Drosophila melanogaster: one gene and its partners. The gene in region 3 interacts genetically with the main gene of each other region. Each region holds a gene or a part of one and is shown on either strand. Other genes may lie near its edges.

The links.
Region 1: of Mocs1 (region 3) and mal, changing one enhances a phenotype caused by changing the other (phenotypic enhancement), as found in Drosophila melanogaster (one study listed by BioGRID).
Region 2: of Mocs1 (region 3) and cin, changing one enhances a phenotype caused by changing the other (phenotypic enhancement), as found in Drosophila melanogaster (one study listed by BioGRID).

What each region holds. Positions count from the first base shown.
Region 1 is NC_004354.4:20,427,936-20,433,842, reverse strand, and holds mal (maroon-like), read right to left. Parts: upstream 4,169-5,907; 5' UTR 3,590-4,168; coding exon 3,517-3,589; intron 3,446-3,516; coding exon 3,295-3,445; intron 3,100-3,294; coding exon 2,317-3,099; intron 2,256-2,316; coding exon 917-2,255; 3' UTR 633-916; downstream 1-632. Other genes in the region: CG11710 (uncharacterized protein), read left to right, coding at 4,273-4,340, 4,406-5,024, 5,144-5,610, 5,671-5,792, 5,849-5,907. UniProt on the Drosophila melanogaster protein: Sulfurates the molybdenum cofactor. Sulfation of molybdenum is essential for xanthine dehydrogenase (XDH) and aldehyde oxidase (ADO) enzymes in which molybdenum cofactor is liganded by 1 oxygen and 1 sulfur atom in active form.
Region 2 is NC_004354.4:253,645-258,987, reverse strand, and holds cin (cinnamon), read right to left. Parts: upstream 3,315-5,343; 5' UTR 3,195-3,314; coding exon 3,164-3,194; intron 3,108-3,163; coding exon 2,347-3,107; intron 2,227-2,346; coding exon 2,048-2,226; intron 1,990-2,047; coding exon 1,561-1,989; intron 1,509-1,560; coding exon 1,346-1,508; intron 1,007-1,345; coding exon 908-1,006; intron 847-907; coding exon 703-846; 3' UTR 519-702; downstream 1-518. Other genes in the region: CG13377 (uncharacterized protein), read left to right, coding at 1-95, 160-383; CG42376 (uncharacterized protein), read right to left, coding at 3,641-3,919. UniProt on the Drosophila melanogaster protein: Catalyzes two steps in the biosynthesis of the molybdenum cofactor. In the first step, molybdopterin is adenylated. Subsequently, molybdate is inserted into adenylated molybdopterin and AMP is released.
Region 3 is NT_037436.4:11,068,856-11,073,859, reverse strand, and holds Mocs1 (molybdenum cofactor synthesis 1), read right to left. Parts: upstream 3,335-5,004; 5' UTR 3,046-3,334; coding exon 2,875-3,045; intron 2,810-2,874; coding exon 2,731-2,809; intron 2,302-2,730; coding exon 1,450-2,301; intron 1,391-1,449; coding exon of another isoform or gene 1,335-1,390; exon of another isoform or gene 1,299-1,334; coding exon 703-1,298; 3' UTR 512-702; downstream 1-511. Other genes in the region: Pfdn2 (prefoldin 2), read left to right, coding at 1-149; CG6310 (uncharacterized protein), read left to right, coding at 4,016-4,212, 4,284-4,492, 4,554-4,729. UniProt on the Drosophila melanogaster protein: Isoform Mocs1a and isoform Mocs1b probably form a complex that catalyzes the conversion of 5'-GTP to cyclic pyranopterin monophosphate (cPMP).

The DNA of each region.
Region 1 (5,907 bases), on a different chromosome or scaffold from region 3:
ACTGTCTGCCTATCGATGGGCAGGAATTTCAAAACAGGGTTGTCAGCCCATGGAAAATTATAGTATTGTACGTTAATGGAAAAATATCTATCTAGTATCTCTTTCAAATATGAATTTTACGAGCTGTAGATCGGATGTTACTGGTCTCAACAGTTAATTTGCTGCAGTTTTCAATCTTAGGTTTGCTTTATATAACAAATAAATAGACCATAAAAGCTCTACCTAAGCCCAAAAAACAAGGTACCAATTAATCCGTACAGCTTTAAGATAGAAGGATGTCCTAAATCAATGAATGAAAGAAAATGCTTCCATGCCATTTTTGGAGTATTGATACAAACTCCCTCACCACTTTCAAGCCTTGGTAATTTAATAGACTTTAACAGTTTCAAGAAAATATAATCATTAATTTTTATGATATGTTGTGATATGAAGTTATGATATCGCGATGCTTTTTATTCATTATTATCATTATTGATGTTAAGCAACTTGTGCTAAATTTGCTTTCCATGATTCGTTGGTAGCCCTGCTCGTCACTTCTTCAAATGGGCGCCTGGATTCAAATCGGCATTTATTTACGCCGTTGCGTTATTTACGTTCGATTACCCTTCCTAAGAACTCAAGTATATACATATCGATTTCAATGTGTTTATTTTGCAATTAAGGCCTTTTAAAGGCTTAAGACACTGGCAAGAGGTATCCGGTTACTTTGAACTTAAGCTATCCTGAATGTTTCTTTAAGAATGTTTGCGTATTCCTATTTCAGAAGTACTTAAAAAACAAACTAAGTGCGAAACGTGATGCAACGTAATAGAGAATTACTTAGTGAATATTGTGCTAAAACTATGTACAATAGAAACATTTCGGGTCAACGAACCAAAGAACGAAGAAAACCACGCTGAAGTGATGTAAAGTGAGCTTATTCCACAAGGACAACATCGCCGCAGGTCATGTGTTGCTCCTTGGGTTCCAGTTCTTTTGTGTCCTGGGGGATCCTAGTGATGTAGATGCCGAATCGCATGCGACCCTTCTGCAGGCGGGATATGGTGGTCAAGGTTTCTGGCGACCGTTCGCCTGTCCTTTGGTTAATGCAGATCATGTCGCAGCGCTGGCAGGGACCCTCCACCTGAAATTGGATTCCCCCAATGGACAGGGCCTTGTAGGTAAGCTCCTCAAAGGCACTGCCCGTGTCGATGATGATATTTGCCCGAAAACGATCCACAGTCTCGTCGAGGGGCTCTTCAAATTGAAGCGATCGCACGGAAGACTTGTTTAGCAGCAAGAACTGGGCCTGATTAACCAGACTTAGCTTCTGCTGATCCTTGGAAGAGTTTCTCTGGCCCGATTGTCGAAGCAAACGGAGGCCCTCCATGCCGAGGTTTTCGCTTAACCACTGGGCAACCCTATCGCCGCAATCCAAACCTTCCACGGGCTGTCGGCACACCTTGCTTACGCATTTTGCTGTGTCGGCTGCCTGGTCATCCAGAGAAAGGGGCACCGAGATGGTGGAATTTTCTCCAAACTGCAGCTCCAATTGGTCAACCTTAATCACTGGCCTAATTAGGCACAACTCCGTGCAGCGTTTCTGGGTCAACGCCATGCCATTCATGTCCACGATCATCCACTCACGGTCATATTTCAAACCTTGATCCGTCAATGGCCAGGAGCCCGGTAATTCGATCTTAAAGGCGGCACAAGACTTTACCGGATATATGGCCATCTGCAATAGTTTTGGCCTCAAGAGCTGGACTCGCTCCTTCAGCAACGGCGGCAATTGCTCCGCCTGCTCCTCGATGAACTGAATCCGCTGCAGCGGCTTGGTTGCCAAATAACTGGAGCGCAGCATCTGGAGCAGCTTGTCTACGTCCTGAATAGTTGTCATATAGCCAAAAGATACCCGTACCGCTCCCGTCGGCTGTCCATCGATCAGATCAAAGTAGTCGCCGCATATGCGACCTGCTCGCTTGTAAATCGCATCCAAAGCATCTTCATCGAGGCCTAGGTAATATTGGCAGGCTCCGATGTTGCAGAAGCAACCAGTCCGCAGGAGTATTCCGTGCAGAGCAGCCACACAGGCGATCTCGCCGAATCCCACAAACGAACCCGATTCAGTGCGCACGTTAAAGGCCACGATGCCACCCTGCCGGGATTTGTCTTGGTAGCCCACTTTATTGTACAGCTTCACGAGGGGCTCACCATTGGGATGATGCAGCTGGCGCAGCTGATCCTCCAGATACTTGGCCAGACCAAAGACGTGTCTGAAAATACAATGATTGGAAAATAAGGCTGAAGTCATCAGACTTATCATTATCTAATCACCTGGAAATCCTCTCCATGGTGCTAAACTCGTCCGTTCTGGGCACCAATCTCTCCAGCGTTCGAAAGCCCTCGAGCAACCCGACAATGGAGAGGAATGGCAGGGTGCCGTCCTCGTAGCGCTGATGGAAGGTCTCTCTCAGCTGGTAATCCATGGCATGCGGATATGCGTAGTTGATGGTACCACCGCCAAAAAAGCGGCGCTTCTGGAAGACCTCGGCTCCTCGTCGACTCACGAGCAGGGCTCCCACGCCCGTGGGATAACCGAAGATCTTGTAGAAACTAAGGCACACGTAATCTGGTCTATACTTTTGCAGATCCAACGGACTGGTGGCCACAAAAGACGCCGCATCCAGGCAGATATAGTAATCGTTGTGCATATTCTTCTTCTTCTCTCCCAAAGAGCTCCAAAGCTCTTTTCCCGGCTTGGCCAAGCCATCGATTTGGATTTGCTCAATGACTTCCAGTGGGATTTTGTAACCACTAAAGTTGCATTGGGCCGAAAAGGTCAGCAAGGAGTTTCCTGTTTTTCCGGACACCTCGTGAACTTTCCCGTTCGCCTTGTGCTTTCCGCCAGAGATTTCATTCTCCCTCAGCATGTATATACCGTTTTCCCGGACCCTTTCCCGCATTCCCAGCACTGAGGTGTGGTTCTCCTGGCAGAAGTGAAACTCACCAGAGGATCCAAAGTCAAAGTTTTCCGCCACCAGGGACAAAGCAGCGGTGGCATTCGCCGTGAATATCACATGGTAATCTTCGGCGGTGGTGTTAAAGAATTCCAGTATTCTAAAAAAGTGTATATGAATAGAAGTTTTACTAAAAACAACTTAACCACAAATGAGGAAGATAAGCAGCGACATAAGGATATTTTACGATATTGCTATATGCACATAAATAATTATTAATAAAAGCGCCACACAAGGGCAACCCAATGACAGGGGGAGAATGGTTGTTTTGGCTCGTGGACACGGATGAACTCACTTGAATCGCACCTGGTCGACGAAGTCGCCGGTGAGGCGGCAGGTGTGCGGATTGCAGATGACATTGCGCTGCAGTTGCTCCGCGGCGGCCGTCACCTGGCTCTCGGCATAGAGAGTGGTGCCCGCATGATCCAGGTAAACACTCTTGTTGCCTGTTCGATAGACGGATAGTTAGGTTCGTTATCTGTTTGCGCTGGGTATTTCACCATGGTTCTCCACTTACTGGCCAATCTAGAGAATTCCGCGTCTATTTGCGACTGCTCCGATGCGGAGAACTCCGGCCGATATGATGTCATGTTGGGAACTAACTATTCGTGTTGGCTGCAAAGCGGGCTTTATTTATTTGCGACCGGCTTGCATTTGTTGCGCCATACTCTTCTTCGCTGGAAAAAGCCACGGACAGTATACATCAACTATCACGTTCAGTTGAGCATTTGCTTTGACTTCTCTTTGAACTTACTCCACCCTACACATTTTACGAAGCTCAATTTATTAAGCTTCTTGTGCATTATGTTTGCTTATTGTAATATATATATCATATTCTCACACTGCTCACCAATATTATAGATGTAGCATTTTACCAAATCTTTTCCAATTATTAACTCTGAATTGCATAGAATTTTAAACTCAAATTGTACGGTATTAACTAGTCGTTGTGCACTTTGCATGGCTATTCAAACATATGTTCTGAGTGTTGGCAAACAATTGGTGTTAGGAAAATGGTTGCTAATGGCTAATTGGCCAATTGTATGACAATAATTTTTGGAAACTACAATCTTATTATTTAAAACATTTATAAAATGTTTTTTAACTACAGAACATTAAATTCGTTTTCACATCTAGACGATAGCCTACACATACAGCTGATTATTCGATTTACATCGATATCGGGGGCCGATAACAGCCTGCGTTGATTTTTTAAAGTTTTTACCTTTTTATTTCACAATTGTAAGCAGTTGGCAAACTTTGGGACTGCGAAATGGAGAATTTCCTGCGGGGCACGTTGTCCAAATGTCTGGACTGTGTAATCACGGATCAGATGTTGGCGTAAGTACATGATGCATCCAGATACGAGCAAATGAGTTTCTCAATGGCTTCATATTCCCTTCCAGGGCCATACTGAACATCAAAGACGACTATGAATTCGACAACTACTTTGGCAATTTACTGAGCGAGGACAACGAGGAGCACCGCATGTTTCTTGTAAACTGTCGCCGGATGCTACTGAGTGGCAAACAGCCGCGGAACAATGGAAAATATCTCTCGCCCCCTCTGGCACCCACATCACCCAATTGTCCCAAGCAAAATATCAGCAAGGGTGCCAAGGGCAAGTCAGGGAAACACGTGAATCTGTACGCCAGCGATGGTCGCGTCCAGGGCGACACCATAATTCTTAAGGGTCGGCGGCATTGCGATTGCCAGGCGGGCCAGCACAAGTTGATCAACAATTGCCTGGGCTGCGGCCGGATCGTGTGCGAGCAGGAGGGAAGCGGCCCTTGCTTGAGCTGCGGCGATCCCGTGCGCACGCCCGAGGAGGAGCAGCAGCTGGCCAAGGCGGCCAGGGAGAAGGGCGGCACGAAGAGCGCCGCCAAGCAGGGCAAAAAATCCACCAAGGAACTGTCCACGCAGGCGCTGGACAAGGCCTTGGCCCAAAGGGATCGTCTGCTGGAGTACGACAAGAACAGCGAGAAGAGGACCACAGTTATCGACGATGAGCTGGACTACTTTCAGGTGGGCTTACTCTTATTCAAAACAATTTTTGAAATCATTACTTATTCAAAGAAGATAAGCTTGCTTCAGCTATAGTTTATTATGCATCAACGTTTTGAACTAATATAATTAATTTTTAGGAGAACTCCGTGTGGCTGAGCGACGCTGAGCGCGAAAAGTTTGAGAAACTGCACCGAGAAATGGAGGAGGTAAAGCACGGCAGTCGCATGAAGCGGAAGATCCGGGTGGACTTCGCTGGCCGAGAGTTGCCGGAGGAACCGACCATCTCCAAAGAGTACGAGCAGCAGGTGATCAGCGAACTAGCAGCCGTTTCTAAAGCCTCGGGTGTTGGATCCAACTGGAGTGCATCCTCGGTCACCGGCCACTCCGCCTTGACACTGGCACCACATTTGAACATGACCAAGCCGCCGGTCTACAAGCCCAGTAAGGAATCCAAGAGTTGGCCAGCTCCTGCAGCAGGCAGCGATTGGCTGGAGAGGACCTACAATCGGGTGCAGGACAAGGAGCTGCTGGAAATGCAGGACATGCGCCAGTGTCTGTCGATGCATCAGCCCTGGGCTTCGCTTCTAGTGGCGGGCATTAAGAAGTGGGTGGTTGTGAAGGCGCATTTCCAGATTTCCTATATCTAATGACATTTTTCCAACAGACACGAGGGTCGAGTGTGGTACAGCGAGCACCGTGGTAGACTGTGGATCGCCTCCACTTCCAAGGAGCCGCACGCCGAAGACATTGCGCAAATGGAGGGCTTTTACAAGGTGCTCTACGGCGGTAAACTTGAGCTCTTACCACTAACTCTCAGCAATAACATATAATTGTAATCGCAGATCCCGACATTAAGTTTCCAAGTCATTATCCCACAAGCAGTCTGCTAGGCTGCGTCCAC
Region 2 (5,343 bases), on a different chromosome or scaffold from region 3:
GCGCAAGGAGCTGCATCCCTATGGCGTCAGTGTGGTCGCTTTGGATACATGCGGCATGACGGCGGAGTCATTGTACAAGGCACCAGTGGCACAAAGTAATGTTTTCCATCATCGTTGGGAATCAATTATATATAATTTTATGTTTGTAATTTATTTCAGCCATGTCCTTGGTCGTTGGGGCTCCTACGCAGTATACAGCGGACGTGCTCAGTCCGGACGCTCTTCATGTGATCGAGCGGGCGTTGTGGGACTATGTTCCGCAGCAGCGATATGCGCTTCTAAGTCATAACAAATACCAATTTGCGTTGCCATGTCGCTCCTCGCTGCGACTTCAGAGGCCGGTAGCTTCAACAGTCGGCGAGAGCGCCAGTCAGTCGGTTTAAAATTTGTCTTCTTCCATTTCCTGTACATATGCTCCTGATCCTGATCCCATTTAGTATAACGCGTCTGATCCTGCTCCTTTCCCTAATTTAATATTTTTACAATATATTTCGATTGATGTTTCTTTTTTCTGTTCTGAGGGCTTTTATAATATTTACTTTTTAATCGTTTTTGCTCACACTGCTAACGGTGTAATTGTTGAACGTTATATTTAATGTTATCATACATAAAAAAATAAAGATAATATATGTGCTGTCTATATATGTCTGTCCAACTTCTGGAATTTATACCTTTGTTTTACATTTTACGTTTGTGTAGTTCTTATTCGTACTTCGAGATAAAGTCAAAGCGCAACACGGAGGCCGGGAAAATTTCACCAGCTTTCGCCAATGGTCGATCAGAAGTACGTGCAGGAAGGTTTATTAAAACATCGGCACCAACAATGCTCTGCAAGCGACTACTAATCTAGAATAATCGCAGGAAAACCGTCATAATATGTCGTTTAATTTAAGGAAAAGTGGCTTACTTGATTTCCATTGACGCTCGCGTATAACTCTCCAGACTTCGAAATCACGGAGGCCCGAACGAACTCCGGGCGGCTATCTAAGCTGAAGTCATTAAGCAACTAAAAGAAAATATATTAAGAAATTATTCAAAATTTTAAGTGGCTTTTTCTTCATTTTACGTATGAGCACTTTAATGTACATATACGGAAAGGAGATACTCCTGTTGATTCTAATTTAAATGTTATAAAATCTTTTCCATTAAAAAATCTGTAATTTGTCAAACTATTTCCTATTAATAGCTTCCAAAGAAGTATGGTGACGGAAACATTCCAGCAATTTCGAGAGCAATCTTTAGTCCTCACTTTGATTGATGATTGCCAAGATATAACTACCTTCAATCGTAAAAGTCTGTCGCCATTCACAAATTCACTATGTGGTTAAATTGGATTGGAACCTACCTTAACGTTAAGCACAGAAAGGGAGCACTTGCAGCGATCCCAGCCAGCAGCAAAGCGTATTGCGGGCAGCGCGAACAGATGAAAAGTAACGAATGCTGAAACTGGGTTTCCGGGCAGACCAAAGAAGTACTTATCTTTCCGACTGGCAAAAGTCATGGGCTTCCTGAGGAACACAAGATAAATATAGCACTAAGCGTTGAGGGAGACAATATTACCCTGGCTTTATGTTTACTCGGCCGCAGTGAATCCTAAATTGAAGGTCCTCCAACACGGACTTTACGAAATCCTTATCGCCCATTGAGACACCACCGCTGCAAATGACAAAGTCCACCACCTCGAAGAGCTCCAATAGAGATTCCTTAGTCCTCTGAAAGCTATCGCTTAGCACACACGTATGCATGCAGTTAAAGCCAAAGTAAACCAGAAGCTCGGTCAACATGGTGGTATTTGAGTCAAAGATCTTTCCCGGAGTAAGCTGATTGCGCGGTGAACACAGCTCACTTCCAGTGGACACTATAGCCACCTTAGGCTTCGATAGTATCAACCTATTGCCCACGGAAGCCAGCAGCGATTTGACCACCACGGGAGAAGGATCTAGAGCAGGAAAAATTCGATCATTGGTGCTTAGATCGTAGCCCACAGGCCTAAGGAAATAAATCAAATGTTTTATTTGGTTTGTCTTTGATATTTCGCAATACATACCTAACATCTAATCCAGCTTGTGGCTCCACCAAAATGTCAACAAGGCTTTCCTGGCCGTTCTTATCTAACTGCAGCAACTTGGTGTCCTCCACTTGCACTACGCAATCTGCCTCCAGGGGTAATGGTGCCCCTGTGTTAATTTTGTAGCACTCATCCTCTGCCAGCGGCAAAGAATTAGGCTGAAAACGAATGGGAAGTGTGTTTAAAAATCGAGACAGGATTTTAAACTTCCATTAAACATTTACTCTCGTTCCCTCCTGCTTATATAGATTACCACTACAAATAAAATCGAAACTTACTGAATCTCCGGCGGCTATGCATCCCAAAACACGCTTAGTGCCAGAAAATCCAGTGGACTTCATGGCATAGCCATCCTTGATGGAAGCCCTAAAGGGCGGAATGTTAACCGGCGCGTTCATTTCCAACAGAATTTTGTTCAGATTGGCGGTCTTTTGTACCGTGTTAAAGATAATTGAAAGCACTTCTTGAACGGGCAGCATTGGATAGGGTGAATTCCGATCAGAATCTGTACCAGTTCCGGTTTTGTGAGGACAAATGTGGCTCTTTTGGGCGGATCCTTGGACCTCAGCATGTGTTTTCCGCACCAGGGACACATCGTCACCTATAAGGTGAACAGCGTGAGGCAAAAGTGCACTAATGGTCTGGAAACACTCTTTTACGGCCTTTTCGCTACCAGGAAGGTTTAAGATGAGAGTATTTCCTGCAATGCCACAGAGTCCGCGGGAAAGAGCCGCATATTGGGTTTGTTTGATGGACTCCAGTGTAATATACATGGAGAGTTGTGGGCATTCCTTTTCTAGTAGCTGCCTCGTGGCCTCTGGGGTCACATCCCGTGGTGCAAATCCCGTTCCTCCGGTAGTCAGAATCACTCTCAGCTCCTCCCGATCGATCCATTTACGTAGCTCTTGCTGTATGATATCCTTTTCGTCCGGAACTATGTTTCCAATCACCTGGGTATTAGCAAAGGTTTCACCGATAAGTTGTCTCAATATAGGACCACTTGTATCTTTCTCCGGCTCCTGCCAACATGTGTCGCTAACTAGGGGTATAAAAATCATGAAAAGTAGAAGTCTATGGGGATAAAAGCCCACATACTAGTCAAAACTCCAAAGGTAATCGATTCCATTACGTTAACTACACCGTTTCCAGCTGCAACCACTGACGATACTCAATTAAATTGTAAACTACAATACATAAATTAATATGCATGCAACCATTTTGCTTCTAGTTATCGATAATTCAGTAAAGAACTCTGGAGTGGGAACACTGATTACAGAAACAGAAATATTAACCCCACAATGGGCATGTCATGTCGAGAAATAAATAAATATAAATTAATAAGCCACTACTTTTTAGCTTTATTTTCAAAGTATATACGAAATCAATCCACAATTTAGAAGACAAGTTAGGACATGCTTAGTACCATCTGCCATTAATGCATATGTACATACATATATTGTAAATGTGGTTTCTTTGTAGTTATTATATAGTTTATTTATTTACCATAAAAAGTACACAAACACGGGTATAAACTGGTCAACAGTACTCCTAGAACTCTTGGCGGGTTAAGGGTTAATTGGCTTGCTTCTCGGCCTTCGTACGGTCCTCCAAGGGATCATAACCCTGGGCCATTTTTTCCTTAAACTGGTCATAAGTACGCTTGCGGTCGAAGTGCTTTACCCATTGACCAGGGCAGGATTGCTCAAATGATTTGCGAAGACTCTGGCAGGGGGTTGGTACCTTTTCCCCACTGGTAGAACTGTGCTTTGGGGCGTGCTCCTCGAGACATTTCCAATACTCGTCCCGGTTGTTCCAGCACTTTTTGCGCTCCGCCTTGTCTGGAAAACTCATCTCAGGTTGTTTTCCAATGATTATTTGATGGTCTCGCCAATTGGGGCTATAATAGATTTCCGTTTGATGTTCAACTTGTCAAACGCTTTGAAGTAAAAGGTCCATATCTAATTTAATGTAATAATATTTCAGCCAACAAAAACCAACCTCAAATATTACAAAACAAAAATCAGCTGTTCGTTTCGATAACTTAGTGTAACAACGTGTGGCAACTCTGAAGGGGGTGATTGGGCGCTGAAATTTTAAGTTAAGCCTTTACCAAATCTGTGCGTTTTTTCGTATTAAGACAAAAATATTTAAGCCCTTGATCAAATAGTAAACACCGACCCAAAAATGGAGCCGCATTAAAAAGTCAATTTTAACTGCACACGATAATATTTGTTTATTGTTTGCACCGTTTCTGCTGTGCTATTTATGGCGAATTTAATCAATTCAATATTTTATGGTTAAACATTAACGTAGCTGCACTCGAAAAATGACTCCTTGCATACCTATTCTTTCAATTATGCGTAAAACTTACAAATTTTATTGCAAAAGAAAAACAAAAAACAAATGCATTAAGATGACAGCTTAAACTGTCAGCCGTAACAGTTAATACCGCCAAGGGACACTGATCTGTATAAATATATTTTCATCATTACTCTTGTCGTGGTTACATAAATATGGATAAAAATGCCAGCAGAAAATCAAAGAAGCGCCTTTCGGTGACCTATGACTTTGTTGCTGAAACGGAAAATCTTGCGACTTAAATTACATGTTGCCGTTTTAAACAGACAAAGTTAATTACACATACAAACCCCGCGTTAACATTTACAGCCTAAAAAAACTATATTGCTTTATAGTAAAATTAGGGTTATCCTAAAGGGCAACCGGGTAAGAAATAATTTTCTTTTAGGCACTTGTGGCTTGGCTTGCTTAGCAAACTGAAAAATTTGTATACGTGATAGACTTCAGATTTGATGGGATTGGTAGAGTGGTAATCAATTGGGGGTATGTATGTACTTCACCCTGCACAAAACATGTAATCCATAATATAGACAATGTTTTTTTTTTTTGCTAAATAATTCCTCCTTTACTTTTGGTTGCGAGTAACATTTAGTTGCCCATTACAGGTCAATTTAAACGGTCTAATTTTCATGGTTAACGGTAAAATCAAACGTATTACTTTTTCGTATCACGTATTTACATATGTATGCTCCAGAGCTCATACAAATTAAAAAAAAAAACCGACTACTTCTATTAAAAAAAATTTTTTTTCTCTTTTCTATGGAAATACTTTGTCTCCTTCATTCTTATGACTAGATGGTCTTTCCTCCATTACAATTCTATTTTATGCCTGGTAATGTCCAAGTCTAATTTTAAGTTTAAAACATTTACGTTCCGGAAACACGCACACCCACAATATCGGGAAACAATTTTGATAT
Region 3 (5,004 bases):
ATGACCTGAGCAAAAAGGGCAGTGAGCTGAACAAGTTCAAGGAGGAGCACAATATCAAGATTCGCGGCGAACACTTGGTTGCCGAAGGAGCCAAGGGCGACGATGCGGAGGACAAGGCGGAGAACCGTAATGTCCTGGTGTTCAACTGAGAGCGATTGATTACCTCACCACACCGTATTTATTGTGTCTATGTTGAGAGGGAACTCTGCCAGGATTTGCGAGCGATAATCCGCGTTTATTGAACACTTCTAATGTTGTATGTACTTCTAGCTGTAAGGCGCAGTTCGCGAAACGCCTCCAATCGCACCTTCACACCAACACTATCCATCAATTCCCCTCATTTAAACTTAACCCACTCTGGCCACGAATTAAAGATACCTTAAACTTCCGATTGAAATTAGTCATGTGTCTTGTGATTCATTCAAGATCTGAAAATGGATGGACCTCTATCCACCGACTGGAAACAAAAACTATATAAACTATATGATTATTTATCCCTTTTATGCCATTTGTTCTGAAACATTTTATTGGTATGTTAGTCAAATTAGTTTCCTATAAGGAAGTGATTTCATCTACATTTTTACACTTATGTATTCTTGCTTCATAAGTCTTTTAATTTAATATTTGTGGCTAAATCAAGTAAGCAGTAGTTTATTTTCCATTCCCCGTATCGTGGTTAATCCGGTTAGTCGGGTATTCGACTTATTCGACTTCTGTAACTATCCCATTTTGCGGCTCCTCCCTCTGGAAGTCCCTTTTTCCGCCGGATTTGCTTAGCAGGCGGACATTTGTGATGCAGATATCGTGAGAAACAGCCTTGCACATGTCGTACACAGTTAAAGCGGCCACTGAAACTGCAGTTAGTGCCTCCATCTCGACTCCAGTTTGGCCCGAGCAGCGAACGGTTGCCTCCAGCCGCACAGATTGTTCGGTTTTCAGAAGAGTGGCCTGCACTTTCACGGAGGACAAGCTGATGTTGTGACACAGGGGTATCAGTTCGGCGGTTCGCTTAGCGCCCATTATGCCAGCAATTTGGGCTACGGTTAGAACATCTCCCTTGGCCACTTGATTGTCGGCTATAAGTTGGGTAAGTTTCTCACCCACCTGAACGGTGGCCTCTGCACGAGCTAATCTTGTGGTCGAAGGTTTTGCGCCCACATCCACCATTTGGGCCTTGCCCTGGCCATCGACATGGGTGAGTTGGCTGTAATTTCGGGCCTGAAGCTGCAGCCTTGAAGTATGATATGCGTGGTGATACGAATAAGGATGAAGATGATGATGGAGTCTTGGCGCAGCATCTGCAACGGGAGAGGGGAGAGAGTGTGGTGTGTCTACTAGCCGCCAATGAGTATCATGGGCCGGTTCTCCATCTGCGACAGGTTCAGCATGCCTGCGAAGGAGTACCAAGTTCTGAAGACTTTCTACGTTTCATTCGGAATCGAAACTCACCTGCATGCTGTTTCTTCTTACGCTGGACGGCTGCTCCAATGAGATCCACCAACTGTTCCTCGCTAACACTCTCATCTCGCATGGCATCTCTCAACGAGAACTCTTTGTTGCCAAACAAGCACACCTTTATGTTTCCATCCGCAGTGAGTCGCAATCTATTGCAGGTACCACAAAAGTGTTCCGTCATGGAGGTGATGAAACCGACCTGACCCTTAAATCCCGGAACTGCATAGGCTTTAGAAGTGTCATTAGGTCCATTGGGAAGGGCCTTGAAGTCTGGCCACCTTTGTCGAATGATTTGCAGGGTATCTTTATACGAAATGAGCCTCTCTGTATGCCACTTGTTTCCGGAGAATGGCATGTACTCTATGAACCGCACATCTACCGGACGATTCCTGGTGAACTCAACAAAATCACAGATTTCATCCTCGTTGAAATCCCGCATAAGGACGCAGTTCACCTTGGGGCGATAGCCCAATTGGACAGCTAAATCAATGCCGGCTATCACCCGCTCCCATCCTTTTCGCCTGGTGATCTTCTCAAAGCGATCCCTTTTCAGCGTATCCAGACTGATGTTCAGGTTATCTAGTCCAGCTCTCTGGAGCGGCAACAGCAGGCGTGTCAGCACCAGGCCATTGGTGGTAATTCCGATTTGCTCCAGTTCGGGTAGTGCTTTCATTTGTGCCACTATCTCTACGATATCCCTGCGCACAGTTGGCTCTCCGCCGGTCAAGCGGATCTTTCGCACTCCCTGCTCCACGAAAATTCGAGCTAGACGAAGGATTTCCTCGGTGGTCAGGAGTTTGTTTTTCGGCTGTAGCGGAACGCCTTCAGCGGGCATGCAGTAGTCGCCTGAAAATATGACCACATTATAGTTATAATAGAATTTTCCAATTGGAATTTAATAAAAGTTAACTGAAGAGTATCATGGAAGTTTCTCGAATTCAAGTTAAGAACATTAAATTATCTAATATCAATGGGGGGTTTGCTATCTATCAGTAATCGAAATCAGAAACGTTGTTAATGTCGCCAAAATTATCTGATTATAATAGCAGCTACAAATGAAATTAGACCATCTGCTCTAATTTGTCAACAATTGGCTGATATGGTTGGACTCCATAACTATTATGTTGACCGCAGTTGTGCGTGTGTAAGACACGAATTTCGCCACATTATTCAATCAAGGCTGGGATCCACTTCACTGCGAGTATTATCAAATAGGTAAAACAATAACAGGGCAAACTGATAAGGGTCGAAAACATAGGTGGTTGGTTTACTTACATCGCAGATTGCAGCGTTCGGTTAGAGAAATTCTCAAATAGGTGTGATGCCGGCCAAAGGAGTCCGTGAGTGGCGAATTCTGGTTAAATTTTCGATTAGCGAAATCGATACGGAAACTTTGTGCCCACCAAATGGAGTACTCACCTTTCTCAGCACCTGTTTCTCCGGCTCCAATGGCTGAACACTTGCCGTGGCCAGATTGAGGTAACCGGTTGTGGCCTTCAGCCGGATTGCTCCTCTCGAAAGTGAAGCCACCTCGCCCGCGCTATTCTCCTGACCCAGCAATCGAATCGCGTGTCTGGCCAATAGCCGCATGTTTTTTTGTTATTTGTATTTTGATTGATGTTCTCTCAGCTAAAACGAATACAATTGGCTTACGTAAGCCGGCAATTTGCGGGGGGTGGCACGAGTTGTTGGGGGATCTGTTGTCGCTGGAGCGATTTCGGACAGTCAGACTGTGATAAGCAATTACATATGCTGACGGCGGTCCTATGTCCTACGAATTGATATCGCCGATTACGCGCTCTCCGTTTCCAACTGCAGCCGGCGAGCGTTGTTTATAAACTAAATTGAGAGTGACGATCATATGGACGAGCTGCCAGCGCAGCTTTCGCCAAAGCTTTTGTTCTAGTGCCAGTGTTAGGCAGCATTTGAAATTTTTTGCCGGTTGATTGATTGTATGGGGGGGGGGGAGCCACCAGGGGGTTGACGCTTCAGAGCTTTGACCTGCAAAAAACCTAGCAGAAATGAAGATGCAGTGACAGCAGTTTACTTATAAGTGAATGGAGTTTAATTTCATTTATTTTAGTACAGTATACAATAAATGATTAATATTTGCTATACAGATGTAATGCCTTGCAAAGAGTTACAAGTGTTATAAACATTCAAGCATCTAAATTTTGACATTCTTAGTTTGCTTTTTAAAATTTTTTTTTTTAAATTTTACCCAAACTTAAACATAAGAAATGATCAAATACGAGATATAAAGACCATATAAATACAGGCCCTTCTTATAATTTTTAAGTTTAAGGCTATACCAGTTCATTATAAACTGTTATTCAAAGGAAAGTCTTAACCCCATAGTGTACAAAACAAAAGCAACAAAACTCCCCACGAAAGAAGAAAGATATATGTATACCCTTTTCCAGCCGCCACTGTACTTATAAGAAGCCTTTTTGTTTATCAAAATCTTTGTGGTGAATTCTGTGGCACATGTTCATTTGAAATTCGAATAGTCAGTCCACCATATATACACACAATAATCGCCAGTCGACGTCGGTTATCCATGATGCACACACCCCGCCTGTCGAATATTAAGCGGGCATCGGTGCTCCTCGTCACCGCCCTGCTCCTCTATGTCTTCGTTTTCTCCAGTGGCTATCAGAAGTACCAGATCGAGGGCATTATCAAGCAGAGTCAACCGGAAAAGGTCTGGGAGTATGTGGCGGATTTTAATAAGATGCGTCTGCTCAATCCCACCATGTAAGGAAAACTCTTTCTTCAAACTTAAATCAGTTTATACGATAATCAGATATTTTCCCCATCACACACAGTTTAAACTTCAAGATCCTAGCTGATCATGGCCACGCCCACGACTGGCGTTACACGGTGCAGTACACAGAGCGACTATCCCATTGGCCATACTGGCTGAATACGGCTACGGCCAAGTACGTGGTCACCAAGTCATTACCCGGAGTATCGCCCGTGGCCTATGCCATTAAGTCCACGCATCAGACTTGCTTCTTTGCCGGATTCTATTGCCGTAAGATAAGACGGAAGTGATATGAATGCCCTCGCTAATCGTAAATGAATCTCTATTGCAGTACAATCACTGAGTGAATTCACGTTCAGAAACTCCAATGGTGATACCTTTGCCCAGGAGAACATCCAGTATCAGTGTCCACCACTCTTGGGCGGCATGTGTAGGCGGGAACTGGAGTTCCAGCGCCAGGCGGTGATGCACAACTTAACGATAATATTCGGAAAACAGAGAGGATAGCATACCAGGATCTAGTTCAAATTTAAATCATATGTGCAAACAACTAATTGACTTACCTACCAATAATCTTAATTCCTAATAAAAAAAAAACACACACAATACTTTGTTTTTAAATGTAAACCCTGTGTTTATTTAACGATGATACAAAATTACACGGTACTTGCTTCTAAAAACGATATCTTTCGTTACTTTAAAATTGTTGAATACACTTTGAATGCGTATTGAAATAATTTAAAAAAAAAAAAACACGTCTAAATCAGGTGGCACATTTTGGA